Callithrix jacchus: one gene and its partners. The protein of the gene in region 1 purifies or fractionates together with the protein of each later gene. This does not show direct contact. Links are inferred from orthologs where the notes say so. Each region holds a gene or a part of one and is shown on either strand. Other genes may lie near its edges.

Region 1 (3,746 bases):
CCAAGCGATGTGGCTCACGCCTGTAATCCCAGCACTTTGGGAGGCCGAGGTGGGTGGAACATCTGAGGTCATACATGGGTGAAACCCCATCTCTACTAAAAACACAAACATTTGCTGGGTGTGGAGGCGCCTGTAATTCCAGCTACTCGGGAGGCTGAGGCAGGAGAATCGCTCAAACCCGGCAGGCGGAGTTTGCAGTAAGCCGAGATCGCGCCACTGCACTCTAGCCTGGGCGAAAGAGCAAGACTCCGTCTCAAACCAAAAAACAAAATTAATGAAATGTAGTATAACCCTCAGGCCCTACTATTAACACTTAGGGGAGAATCCAGACCCAGTCTCCCGTTCGGATTCAGAACACCTTCCGGACTCACTGGCCCTAGGGATCAGCTACCTAGGACAGCATCGTTTTGGGAAAATGCCGCCCACCAGCCCCACCACAGGGAAAGAGTCGGACAACACCCACGAGTACGCCAGTTCCCTTAGACTTCCCTCAGCTAGGGCCTGCCGTTTCCTAGTGCGTGCACAGCCGCCCTCAGGTCACCTTCACTACAGGGCCAAGGACCCCGTGGGAACTCGCAGGCCTTGCCACTCTCGTTCCTCGCGCGTCCATGGAGGGGTGCCTAGAGAGAAGACCTGCGTGGCAAAAACCTAAACGAAGAGATGAGGGGCATGGAGAAGAGTAGAAAAAGATCAGAAAGATAACAGTGGGAGGAGATGTTAGTTTCCTTTATAACTTTTGTTACTGGCGGTAGCAGGGAAGTTAGAAATGGTTTTAAAACAAATTTCAGACAGGCATTTTCCAAAGGCAAGCCTGGAGCGCGCGGATCCATACAACTGCGGAAGGCCCTGTTTCCGGTCCTTTGCGCCTGCGCTCTTGCAGCCAAGAAGGCGGGAGGCCGCAGTAGAGAGAAGGCTGCAACCGGAAGTGAAGGCAGATTTCCCTCCTTCGTCGCTGTTGCTGCCGCCATACGCGCTCTCCCTGCTTAGGTAAGCTTCGGCCTTCGCTACAATCCGTTTTCATCTGCGCTTCTCCGTACCCATCCCGTCACATGGGTTCCTGATACCCTCTTCACAGGCGCTGGTCTGATCGCTGGGGCCTAGTTGGTTCGTTATTTCTGTAGCCTGCATCCCTTTCGAGAGCAAACTGTTCCTGGGGGGAGGAAGGGTAGCTAAGAGGGGGCCCAATCCAAGATGGTGTCCTCGGCGCCATTGTGTTCGCTTTGCTCCCTTCATCCAGTGGGTTCTTCTCATATTGGAGGCCTCATCATCAATGAGAGGCGGCGCTAGGCGTCCCTTGGTCTTGGTATTTGCGGAGGGCGGGGCTCTTCTCACCTTCCTTGTCTTTTTTTGGGCCCTTTCTCGGCCCACGATGGGGCTGGGAGGAGGAGCCGGTTGGATTTTTCTCACCTCGACTTGCCCAACCTAATCTGGAGTGCCTTCCAAGTGTTTACGATTGGTGTCATTGTATGTTTCTCAGAAAGGAGTCTCACCTTCGTAGCGCAACAGTGATGTGAGACCACTTGGTAAAGATTTTGTCGAAGCCTGGGTGGGGATTGCCTTTCTCTGTCAACTCTTAGCTTATTGTAGGGTGGAGACGTGAAATTTTTTGTTGTTGTTGCTGAGCCATTTGTCTTGCACTGCCCGCCCCATGCTAATTACACAAGGATATCTTAACGGAAGGGAGGGTACTGAGAAGTGGGAGGTGGACGGCGGCCATATGATGTTTTCCTTTCGAAAGGTGAGCGCTTTGCGCAGTGATGACCCTCATCTATCACCCTTGACTGATGGCTGCTGAGTTAGGCATCTGCACGTTGGGATTATAATAGGGAAAGCGCGGTCCTATGAGGATTTTTCGGACTCTGTCATCTCCATTTTCCACTTCTCCAAGTTATTAGTAGTATTTTATCCTTTATTATCTATTTTGTTTCATCCTTGTTACTTTCAGATCAAGAATTTATTTTTTTTTCTTTTTATTTATTTATTTTTAAAGATGGGGTTTCACCATGATGGCCAGGCTGGTCTTGAACTCCTGACCTCAGGTGATCCACCCACCTCGGCCTCCCAAAGGGCTAGGATTACAGGCGTGAGCCACTGCGCCCGGCCCAGATCAAGAATGTATAAGTTGGTCTTCCTGTTCCAACTTTTCTGGTTTCTGCTACTCGGATTGCTAATCTTGTTGGGATCCTGTGTCCTAAGCATTTTCCCTGGGACTGCTTTTTCTATGCTGTTTTATTTGCTTTTCGCTTGTATGTTTTGTATCTGTTTCTCTTTCCAGGTAAAAGTTTCCCAGTTTAGGGGAAGTGGGAACTGGGGATGGAAAAGAGGAGGTGAAGGCTCTGCTTATGACTAAATCTTGCTTTTTTTTTCTCCCCCCCCCTGCAGCTCTTCTTTTAGAAACTAGTATCTTTGCTTTCCTTTGCTGTTCATCAACCCCCTAATTTTCACCCCTTGTTTTCACCTATTTTCCAAGAACCCATCCAGAGCCCCCTTCCCTTTTTCCCCTGCCGGCCCAGTTATGGCAGAGAACGATGTAGACAATGAGCTCTTGGACTATGAAGATGATGAGGTGGAGACAGCAGCTGGGGGAGATGGGGCTGAGGCCCCTGCCAAGAAGGATGTCAAGGGCTCCTATGTCTCCATCCACAGCTCTGGCTTTCGTGACTTCCTGCTCAAGCCAGAGTTGCTCCGGGCCATTGTCGACTGTGGCTTTGAGCATCCATCAGAAGGTAAATTTTCTCTTGGGCATGTATGCTCATTAGGCTCTTTAAGGATGATAAAAAGATGTGTTCATTGTTGCTCAGGTGGTAAAGGTTTATACTTAAGGCTAGATCAGGACCAGTTGCAGTCGCTCATTCCTGTAATCCCAGCACTATGGGAGGCCAAGGTAGGAGAGGGTCAGTTGAGCTCAAGAGTGCAGGAGAAGCCTGGGAAACCTAGGGACTCCTGTCTCTATGAAACGTTCAAAAATTAGCCAGGTGTGGTGGCGTACACATGGAGAGGTATGGCAAGCCAGGGGAGGATTGCTTGGGCCCTGAAGATTGGGGCTGTAGTGAACCATTATTGTACTACAGTACGCCAGCCTGGGTGACAGCAAGGGAAAAAAAATCAGGAGATAAGTATCAAAAACAATTTTGGATATAGGAGGCTTATACAGGTTTATTGTTTCTTTTATGATAGCAACAAAGTGCCAGTGATTCAAGAGTAACTTATAGGTCTGCTCTTCATTCTTGTGACTGGCTTTTCTTCTCCAAGACGGAGTCTTGCTCTTTCGCCAGGCTGGAGTGCAGTGGCATGATCTCAGCTCACTGCACCCTCCATCTCCTGGGTTCAAGTGATTTTCCTTCCTCAGCCTCAAGAGTAGCTGGGACTATAGGCATGCACCACCTTGCCTGGCTGATTTTTTTTTTGTATTTTAGTAGAGATAGATTTCATCATGTTGGCCAGGATGGTCTCAATCTCTTGACTTCATGGTCAGCCCACCTCGGGCTCCCAAAGTGTTGGGATTAAGGCGTGAGCCACCATGGCCGGCCTTGTCTGCTTATTTTTAATTTTGTCACTTCTAATTTTAAATTTCCAGAGAGCTCCTGGTTGGACCTGTAGACCCCCTTTGTTGGGCCAGGCCACCTGTGGTCTCTGGAAGCCTCTGTGACTGGTTTAAAGATGACTGGCTTCTGGGTCAGGTACCAAGTCCTTCATTTCGTTCAGGGTTGCAGTTATGTGATCCAAAGTAGGGCAGTCTAAGTAGG
Region 2 (3,584 bases), on another chromosome or scaffold:
CAGGAGTTAAAATGATAAAATGCTTAAAATAGTAAATTATTTGAATTTTATAAAGTCCTTGGTACATTACCTTAGTACAATTAAGTATTTATTAAATAAATACATTTTAAAGAAACCTCATCAAATCCATACACCTGTGAGGCATCTGCCCAGAGTCACAGAGCCAATCAATCAGGTGAATGGGTGATTCCAGGCTGGCAGGAAACCTCCAGTGTCATCTGCACATGTCTCCACCACCCACTGACACAGGGACTGCACCATGTATTCTTGTTTGTCGTGGGGCCTGGTATGCTTCTTTGTATTATACTGTTAAATACACGGGGCTAGGCCTTTGGAGGATCCCAATGTTTTAAAAGGGCAATACGAATATAATTCCAATACATAAAAAGTATGATGGCAGCAAGAATTTAGTTACAAAACCCCAGAATCCTCAAAGCAGAGAAGTCACACAGCCCTGTGCAGTGTTACCTTTGCCTCGAGTCTGGACAGGGCACAAGTCTTATTTAACTGATTTCACAAGAAGGGTCCAAGAGTTTTATTAGACAATCCATGTCAAGGTACAAAATGATTAATGACATTAACAGCCATATTCTATTAGCCAAGTGCCACCTATCACTATGAAACTATCCTGTAGGACATCCCTGGGCTCTCAGCTGCTAATGTCTGCTTGAAGAGCTCAATGTCCTCAAATCAAGATCCTAACACAAAGATTCCAGAGAGTGGCTTAGAAAGCCCAGCTACTCTTACCAATGTGGGGAAGGGGTCAGGGGAATGAACCCCTGCAGGGCAATTTGAATTCTCAAACTGAGTAAGAGGGAAACAAATATGCAGACAGGGTCCAAGGCCTCAGGTGGGTCTGGGTCAGAGTGGGAGACGTGAGAGGCAAAATGGCAGGGACTTAACAGCAGGTTCCTCCTGTCTACTTCTTCCTCCCGCCTCTCTCCTTGAGGGCCAGGTGGATGACGGCACCATTGGCCATGTTGTAGTAAGCCAGTGAGTTGGAATCTTTGATGAAGATACCCTGGAAAACAGAGAGCATGCCTTAGCATGGGGCAATCCAGCCTCGAGCATACTGCTGCAACCTTACAACTGTGCACTTGGTCCATTTGTGCTCTGGATTTAGCAAATACAGGAACTTGTGAGACAGTAGTGTGCTGGGGATTAGAGGCTTCTCATTCTTCTTACTGTTTGCTTTCTTCCTACCAATTATGCTCCTTTCCTTTATCAACATTTGACTCAAAGCTTAACTCCCCAAAAAGTTGTTCCTGACCAACCCCATGGAGCTCTGACTCTGAAATCACAAGACCTTTAGGAATCACTTAGTCCAACAGCCTCAATTTATAGAGATAACTGAGGCCCAGAGTGGGGATTTGTTAAAGTTTAGATAAGAAGAACATAATCCCTCCATGTGACCTGGCAGGCTTCAGGCTGGGCTAGACTATCACCTCCAAGTTGGGCTGCCTGAGGTCATACCAGCATCACTGGAACCAGAGTATGCCTAAGTCTTGTCCCTATATCTCTATGCCCAGTCACTGAGGCAAAGTTCTTACAGATCCCACATAAGACTGTACTGTGTCCCCACCAGAGCCTTGCACTGTTGGGCACACCTGCCCCAGCACTCCCAGCCAGTATCATCACTTCTAGGATGGATTCAGATGGCAATACCCAGGTATCACTCAACTCCCCTTTCTGTTTCCATGAGAGATTTAGCTTCTGTATAAGCAGGTGTCAGGATCCAAGGGGCAGGTCTGTGGACAAATTGACTCACCTCGTACTGTAGCTTCTGTTTCCCTGCAGGCATGCCTGTGGCTTCGTGAATCTTCACCTTAATGACAGAAACCTGTGGAATCAAGCAGAGGTCATTCAACTCCTTGCTAAGGCCGGCTGGAGGAAGCTTTCCCCTGATCTCTTGGTTCTCATGCACCTGATGCCAGTTTGTGGCAGCAACTCGTAATACCTGGTCCGTGAGCGGGAGGGTGAAGACCAGCACCTGCCCATTCAGTTTCCATTCCGTCTTATCCTGCATGTTGGGCACCTGGACTTTGATGGACACTGGACCCTATAAAACAGGAGGTGGTCATTATACCCAGGGAGCCCTGAGCCAATCAGGAACTCTGCTCTGCTATCCTAGGCCTGTCCAGACAATGTCATCGGTGAATCTGGGCTGCTAGATTCTGGCCTGATTCACCAATGATACCGCTTGTGAGGTTGTAGAAGTCACTCCCCCTTTGCAAGACTTAAGTTTCTTTTCTTTAAAACAATCTCTATCTTGTCTCCTGGTGAGTCTGGAGCTAAAGTGAAGAACTTAGGTGAGTGTCTGTAAACTATTTAGCTCTATCCTGGTACTTGAGTTAAGCGGTTTTTTTTTGAGACAAGTCTTGCTTGGGAGTGCAGTGGCATAATCTCATCTCACTGCAAACTCCATCCCCCAAGTTCAAGTGATTCTTCTGCCTCAGCCTCCCAAGTAGCTGGGATTACAGACACCTGCCACTGTGGCCCAGCTAATTTTTTATTTTTAGTAGAGTTGGGTTTTCATCATTTTGGCCAGACTGGTCTTGAACTCCTGACTTTGTGATCCACCTGCCTCGGCCTCCCAAAGTGCTGGGATTACAGGCGTGAGCCACTGTGCCCAGCTGAGTTAAGTGCTTAAGAAATGAGATTATTAAAAAACAAACAAATAGTGTGGGTGCGGCAGCTCATGCCTGTAATCCCAACACTTTGGGAAGCCAAAGTGGCGGATCACTTATGGCCAGGAGATCGAGACAAGCCAGGCCAAAATGGCAAAACATCGTCTCTACAAAAATACAAAAATTAGCTAGGTGTGGTGGTGCACACCTGTAATCCCAGCTACTCGGGAGGCTGAGGCACAAGAATCACTTGAACCAGGGAGGCAGAGGCTGTAAAAAAAAAATAATAATAAATAATGTGGTCAAATACCTCTGGGGGAGCAGAGGCTGGGGCTGTTTCTGCCTCCTTACTGCAGCCTGACAGCTTCCCTAGAGATTGGCAGTGACAAGGTCCCCACCTCCCCTTATTCCAGGAGCTCAACAGAATCACCTCCTAAGGGCTCAAGCTGGGGAGGAAGGCCGTATTAAACTTTAAAACACCACACAAAATTTCCTCCAGGTGTCTAGGGTCCCTCTCACACATGAGTTGTTCTCCCTGCTAGCCTCTGTAAGTCCACACCAGGGGGACCACTACAGTCACCACCTCTGCCACCACCACCATCCCCATCACCACTAATGCTCTCTGCTCCTCCAATTGTTGGCCCCACATTCACTGTGTGCTCAAAAGCCCTTAGATGCCTCCAATAGCTGACCTAGGCCCCAGAAGTAAGACTGGGAGTGAAACACCCTCAGTTTGGGAAGTGTACAACAGGGGTGGGACTCTCCAGCTAGAAACTTCAGCAGCATTCTGGGATCACATACCTTGTTTCTGCGCAGGAACTCCTCCTCTGGCATTAGGCTGTCCTCTGTCTTCAGTTTTTTGGAGGTGGGCTCATCTTCTATGGGAGGTGGGGGATGAACAGGGGGCATTGGGGCTGGAGCTGGGACAGGTGCCACAGGTGGAGCAGGCACAAAGGC
Region 3 (3,646 bases), on another chromosome or scaffold:
CCTAGAAGCAGCCCCCTAGACACCCACAGATGTGCACACGGGCACCAACACGGGCTCACACGCATGCTGCCAGCTCCCAGGCTGGCTCAGCCCTCACCCACGCCTGGCCCCACCCCTCACCGTCTCCGGCCGTTTCTTGTCACTGAGCTCACTCCGGTTGAAGCACTGGCTCATAATGGGATTCTTCGAGCTGCACATGGTCTGTGTGGCAGAGCCGGGGTCAGGCTGGAGCACAGGGACAGGCCCCTGGACACAGGTGCAGAGTTGTGGGTGACCCCTTCCCCCTCGGCCCCCACTTCAGGTCCCTCACCTCCTTCAGGTTCCGGAAGAGAAGGTCATTGTTTTTGTCCAGAAACCCTGGGAGGGGAGAGCACATGTGAGGTGAGACAGAGGCTCCCTGCGGCCCCCGTGAGGACCCAGCCCAGGATCCTCACCAGTCACGCTGTAGGTCACCTCCCCAGCGTAGTGCAGAAGGCGGAATTCCTCTCGGCCCAGAGATTTCCTGGTCCGCTGGTCAGCCAGCTTGTGCCTGAGGTGATGGGGAGGAAGCTGCAGGTGGCCGGACTGCAGGAGGGATCTCAGGAGCAGGAGCCAGCCACCCAGCAAAGAGTAGGCACACCCCAGGGCTGGGTCGTAACCCCTGCGCCGTGTGGGAGGCCAGACAGGGCCAGCAGCCTCCCCCAGCAGAACAGACCACAGTGGCTCAGAGAGGTAGACAGCCTTGCCCAGGGCCACACAGTGCCAGGACCAGGGCCTGGGCCTCCTGACTGCCAGGGCTGCTGCAGGGAGGGCAACTCTCGCTGCTTCGGGCTCTGCTCGAAAGGGGGTGGTGAGCTGCCTGCTGCTTTTCAGAATGGAATCTGCCGCCTGGAGAGAGTACGTTAGTCCAAGGCGTGTTTATACCCTTTGGTCCACTTACTACTTTTAAGAACTATTCCAGGCAATAACCAGAAATACAGACAAAGATAGAAGCATGGAGATGGGTGGTAGCCTTGAGATTCCAGCAGAAACCTGGGGTTGGCCTGGGGCCCCCAAAGGCCAGAGGAAAAAGTGTGTGGGTCAGAGCCTCGGCAAGGAGGGTTTTGAGAAAACTTTCTGTTTGATGCTGCAGGAAAACACTCAGGATACAGCATTGCCCTAAGCCTTGTATACAATAAGTTCCTGACTACAAAAAAAAAAAAAAAAACATATGGAAAAAGGCCAGAGGGAAATGCCTGGTGCTGTTGACAGCCACGGCCTGTAGCTGACAGGTTCACGGGGCTTTTGCGAACATTCCAACGCTTCTCCAACGAGCGGGATCATTTTTATAACCAGAAACAAGTTTTTTTTTTTTTATTTAATGAATCATGCGGCCCCCAAACCAGCATAGATTCAGAGAGACTCCCAGAAACAAGTTTTTTCCTTTTTGAGACAGAGTCTCACTCTGCCACCCAAGCTGGAGTGCAATGGTGGGCTCACTGCAACCTCCACCTCCCGGGTTCAAAGGATTCTCCTGCCTCAGCCTCCCAAGCAGCTGGGATTACAAGTGCGTGCCACCATACCTGACCAATTTTTGTATTTTTAGTAGATGGGGTTTCACTATGTTGGCCAAGGAACTCCTGATGTGAGGTGATCCACCTGCCTCAGCCTCCCAAACTGCTGGGATTACAGGCATGAGCCACCACACCTGGCCAGAAACAAGCCTTATTATGCAAAAAAATACTATGGCTTTGGCATTCAACAGCCTTGGGACTGAGCCCCGCTCAGCTCCCCAGATGAGAGATGACCTGGGGAAAGAAAGGACTTCCCCCTGGAGTCTCGTGAGATGCAGGAACAACAGGACAGCTCCCTACAGAGCGGCTCAGGTTTGGCAATGACGCACGGAACATCCTGGCCGCTGGTTCCTGTTTCTACCTCTCCCCACTTTAGGGGATTCCTTCAATAAAAAGCAATTTCCAAATAAGGAAGCTAAAAAAATCTCAGCAAGTTTTATTCTCAAAAAAGAATAGGGAGGAAACCAGGCTACTAACGTCGTCTTTTTTTTTGGAGACACTGCAACCTCCGCCTCCCGGGTTCAGGCGATTCTCCTGCCTCAGCCTCTCGAGTAGCTGGGATTACAGGTGTGACCCACCACACCTAGCTAATTTTTATATTTTTAGTAGAGACAGGGTTTATGTTGGCCAGGCTGGTCTTTAACTCCTGACCTCAAAAGATCCACCTCTTCGGCTTCCCAAAGTGCTGTGATGACAGATGTGACCATGTGCCCAGCTGTCTTTTTCACTTTTTGAGATGGGATCTTGCTCTGTGGCCGAGGCTGGAGGTGGATTGATCCTCGCTCACTGCAGCCTCAAACTCAGGGCTCAAGTGAAGCTGTGGCCCTAGCCTCCTGTGCAGGTGAGACTCACGCGTTCAGCGTGCTTATCTAAGCTTCTCAGTTTTCTGGGTGCTTGTGAGGGATCCTTAGCTCGGCACCTTCCCTGGACACCCCCTTGCGGCTGTGAGGGATGCCTGTGCTCCACAGGCTCTGCCCCACAGGAACCTTGCTCCAGCTGTCCACAGCCCCACTCACGTCAGGAAGTGGGGGTGGTGCTTGACGGTGTCCTCCAACTTCTCCAGGAACGTCAGGTCTGTGGCCTCGCCAGGGCGCAGACACTCCTCATCCTGGGGGGTGTGGCACAGGGGAGGGATGTGTGGCGGTGGGGCCAGAGAGCAGAGAAGATGGGGGCACCATGACGGGAGGCACAGACACAGGGAGGGGTGGATCTGCAGGGGGCCTCGGCAGGGAGCTTCCAACCCTGGCAGCGACTCCCTCCGCCCTCCATTCACAGCCCGGCCAGGCCCTGACTCCAGCCCTCTGTGGGCCAGCCTGGAGAGGAAGGAGACAGGGCACCTGGGGTACTCCCCCACCAGCCTCCAGCCTGGAGGACTCACCAGAATGGAGATGATGCCCTTGAACTTCTCCTCCACCAGATCGCAGATAACCTTGTTGTTGAAATACAGGACAGGCTCCCACTGAGGGGGACAGGGAAGGAGGCATCACCGTGGGGGCCCAGCGTCCTCAGCCACAGCCAGGCTGTGCCATGGAGAGCGCCCCCAGGCTGTGCCCACGGAGAGTGCCCCCAGGCTGTGCCACAGAGAGCACTCCCAGGCTGTGCCCACGGAGAGCGTTCCCAGGCTCCACGCACCGCGATGCCCTCGGCCTCGTACTCCTCCTGCTCCGACTTGAGCGTGAGCTCGATGAACAGCTGCTGCAGCTTCTCGTTGCAGTAATTGATGCAGAACTGTTCAAAGCTGTGAGGACAGAGAAGAGCCCAGCGCGGCTCAGAGGGCACAGAGGACCAGGAGGGGTGGAAGGCAGGACAGGGCCCCTGAGCACAGACAGTACAAAACACAGAGCCGCCCTCTGGCTGGCTGGGCAGTCCCAGAGCAAGAATCAGGCTGGGGGACAGAAGAGAGGGGCCAGGCCAGGAGACCCAGGAGGAGGGCGGGACAGGGGAAGGCGGCACTGACCTGTTATGCTGAAACACTTCAAAGCCGTAAATATCTAGCAGCCCAAGGACGGTAGTGCTCCGCCAGCTGGGGCTGTCCACATCCTAGGGCAGTCATTCAACCAAAGACATGGCCCCAGCGATGTCTGCCAGCCCACCCACAGCCCTGGCCCCGCCTC

The links.
Region 2: the proteins of DDX39B (region 1) and SF3A1 purify together in Homo sapiens (affinity purification with mass spectrometry; 3 studies listed by BioGRID and IntAct, with this or other methods). This does not show direct contact. The link is inferred for Callithrix jacchus from reciprocal best matches to the Homo sapiens genes DDX39B and SF3A1.
Region 3: the proteins of DDX39B (region 1) and MYO1C purify together in Homo sapiens (affinity purification with mass spectrometry; 5 studies listed by BioGRID and IntAct, with this or other methods). This does not show direct contact. The link is inferred for Callithrix jacchus from reciprocal best matches to the Homo sapiens genes DDX39B and MYO1C.

What each region holds. Positions count from the first base shown.
Region 1 is NC_133505.1:39,026,370-39,030,115, reverse strand, and holds the start of DDX39B (spliceosome RNA helicase DDX39B), read left to right. Parts: upstream 1-933; 5' UTR 934-987; exon of another isoform or gene 988-1,104; intron 1,105-1,175; exon of another isoform or gene 1,176-1,523; intron 1,524-1,712; exon of another isoform or gene 1,713-1,790; intron 1,791-2,382; 5' UTR 2,383-2,515; coding exon 2,516-2,726; intron 2,727-3,746. UniProt on the Homo sapiens protein: Involved in nuclear export of spliced and unspliced mRNA. Component of the TREX complex which is thought to couple mRNA transcription, processing and nuclear export, and specifically associates with spliced mRNA and not with unspliced pre-mRNA.
Region 2 is NC_133502.1:200,934,312-200,937,895, forward strand, and holds the end of SF3A1 (splicing factor 3A subunit 1), read right to left. Parts: intron 3,584-3,584; coding exon 3,429-3,583; intron 2,060-3,428; coding exon 1,958-2,059; intron 1,841-1,957; coding exon 1,769-1,840; intron 1,022-1,768; coding exon 920-1,021; 3' UTR 521-919; downstream 1-520. UniProt on the Homo sapiens protein: Component of the 17S U2 SnRNP complex of the spliceosome, a large ribonucleoprotein complex that removes introns from transcribed pre-mRNAs.
Region 3 is NC_133506.1:66,755,781-66,759,426, reverse strand, and holds part of MYO1C (unconventional myosin-Ic), read right to left. Parts: intron 3,573-3,646; coding exon 3,490-3,572; intron 3,271-3,489; coding exon 3,165-3,270; intron 2,992-3,164; coding exon 2,911-2,991; intron 2,641-2,910; coding exon 2,549-2,640; intron 530-2,548; coding exon 435-529; intron 358-434; coding exon 311-357; intron 202-310; coding exon 121-201; intron 1-120.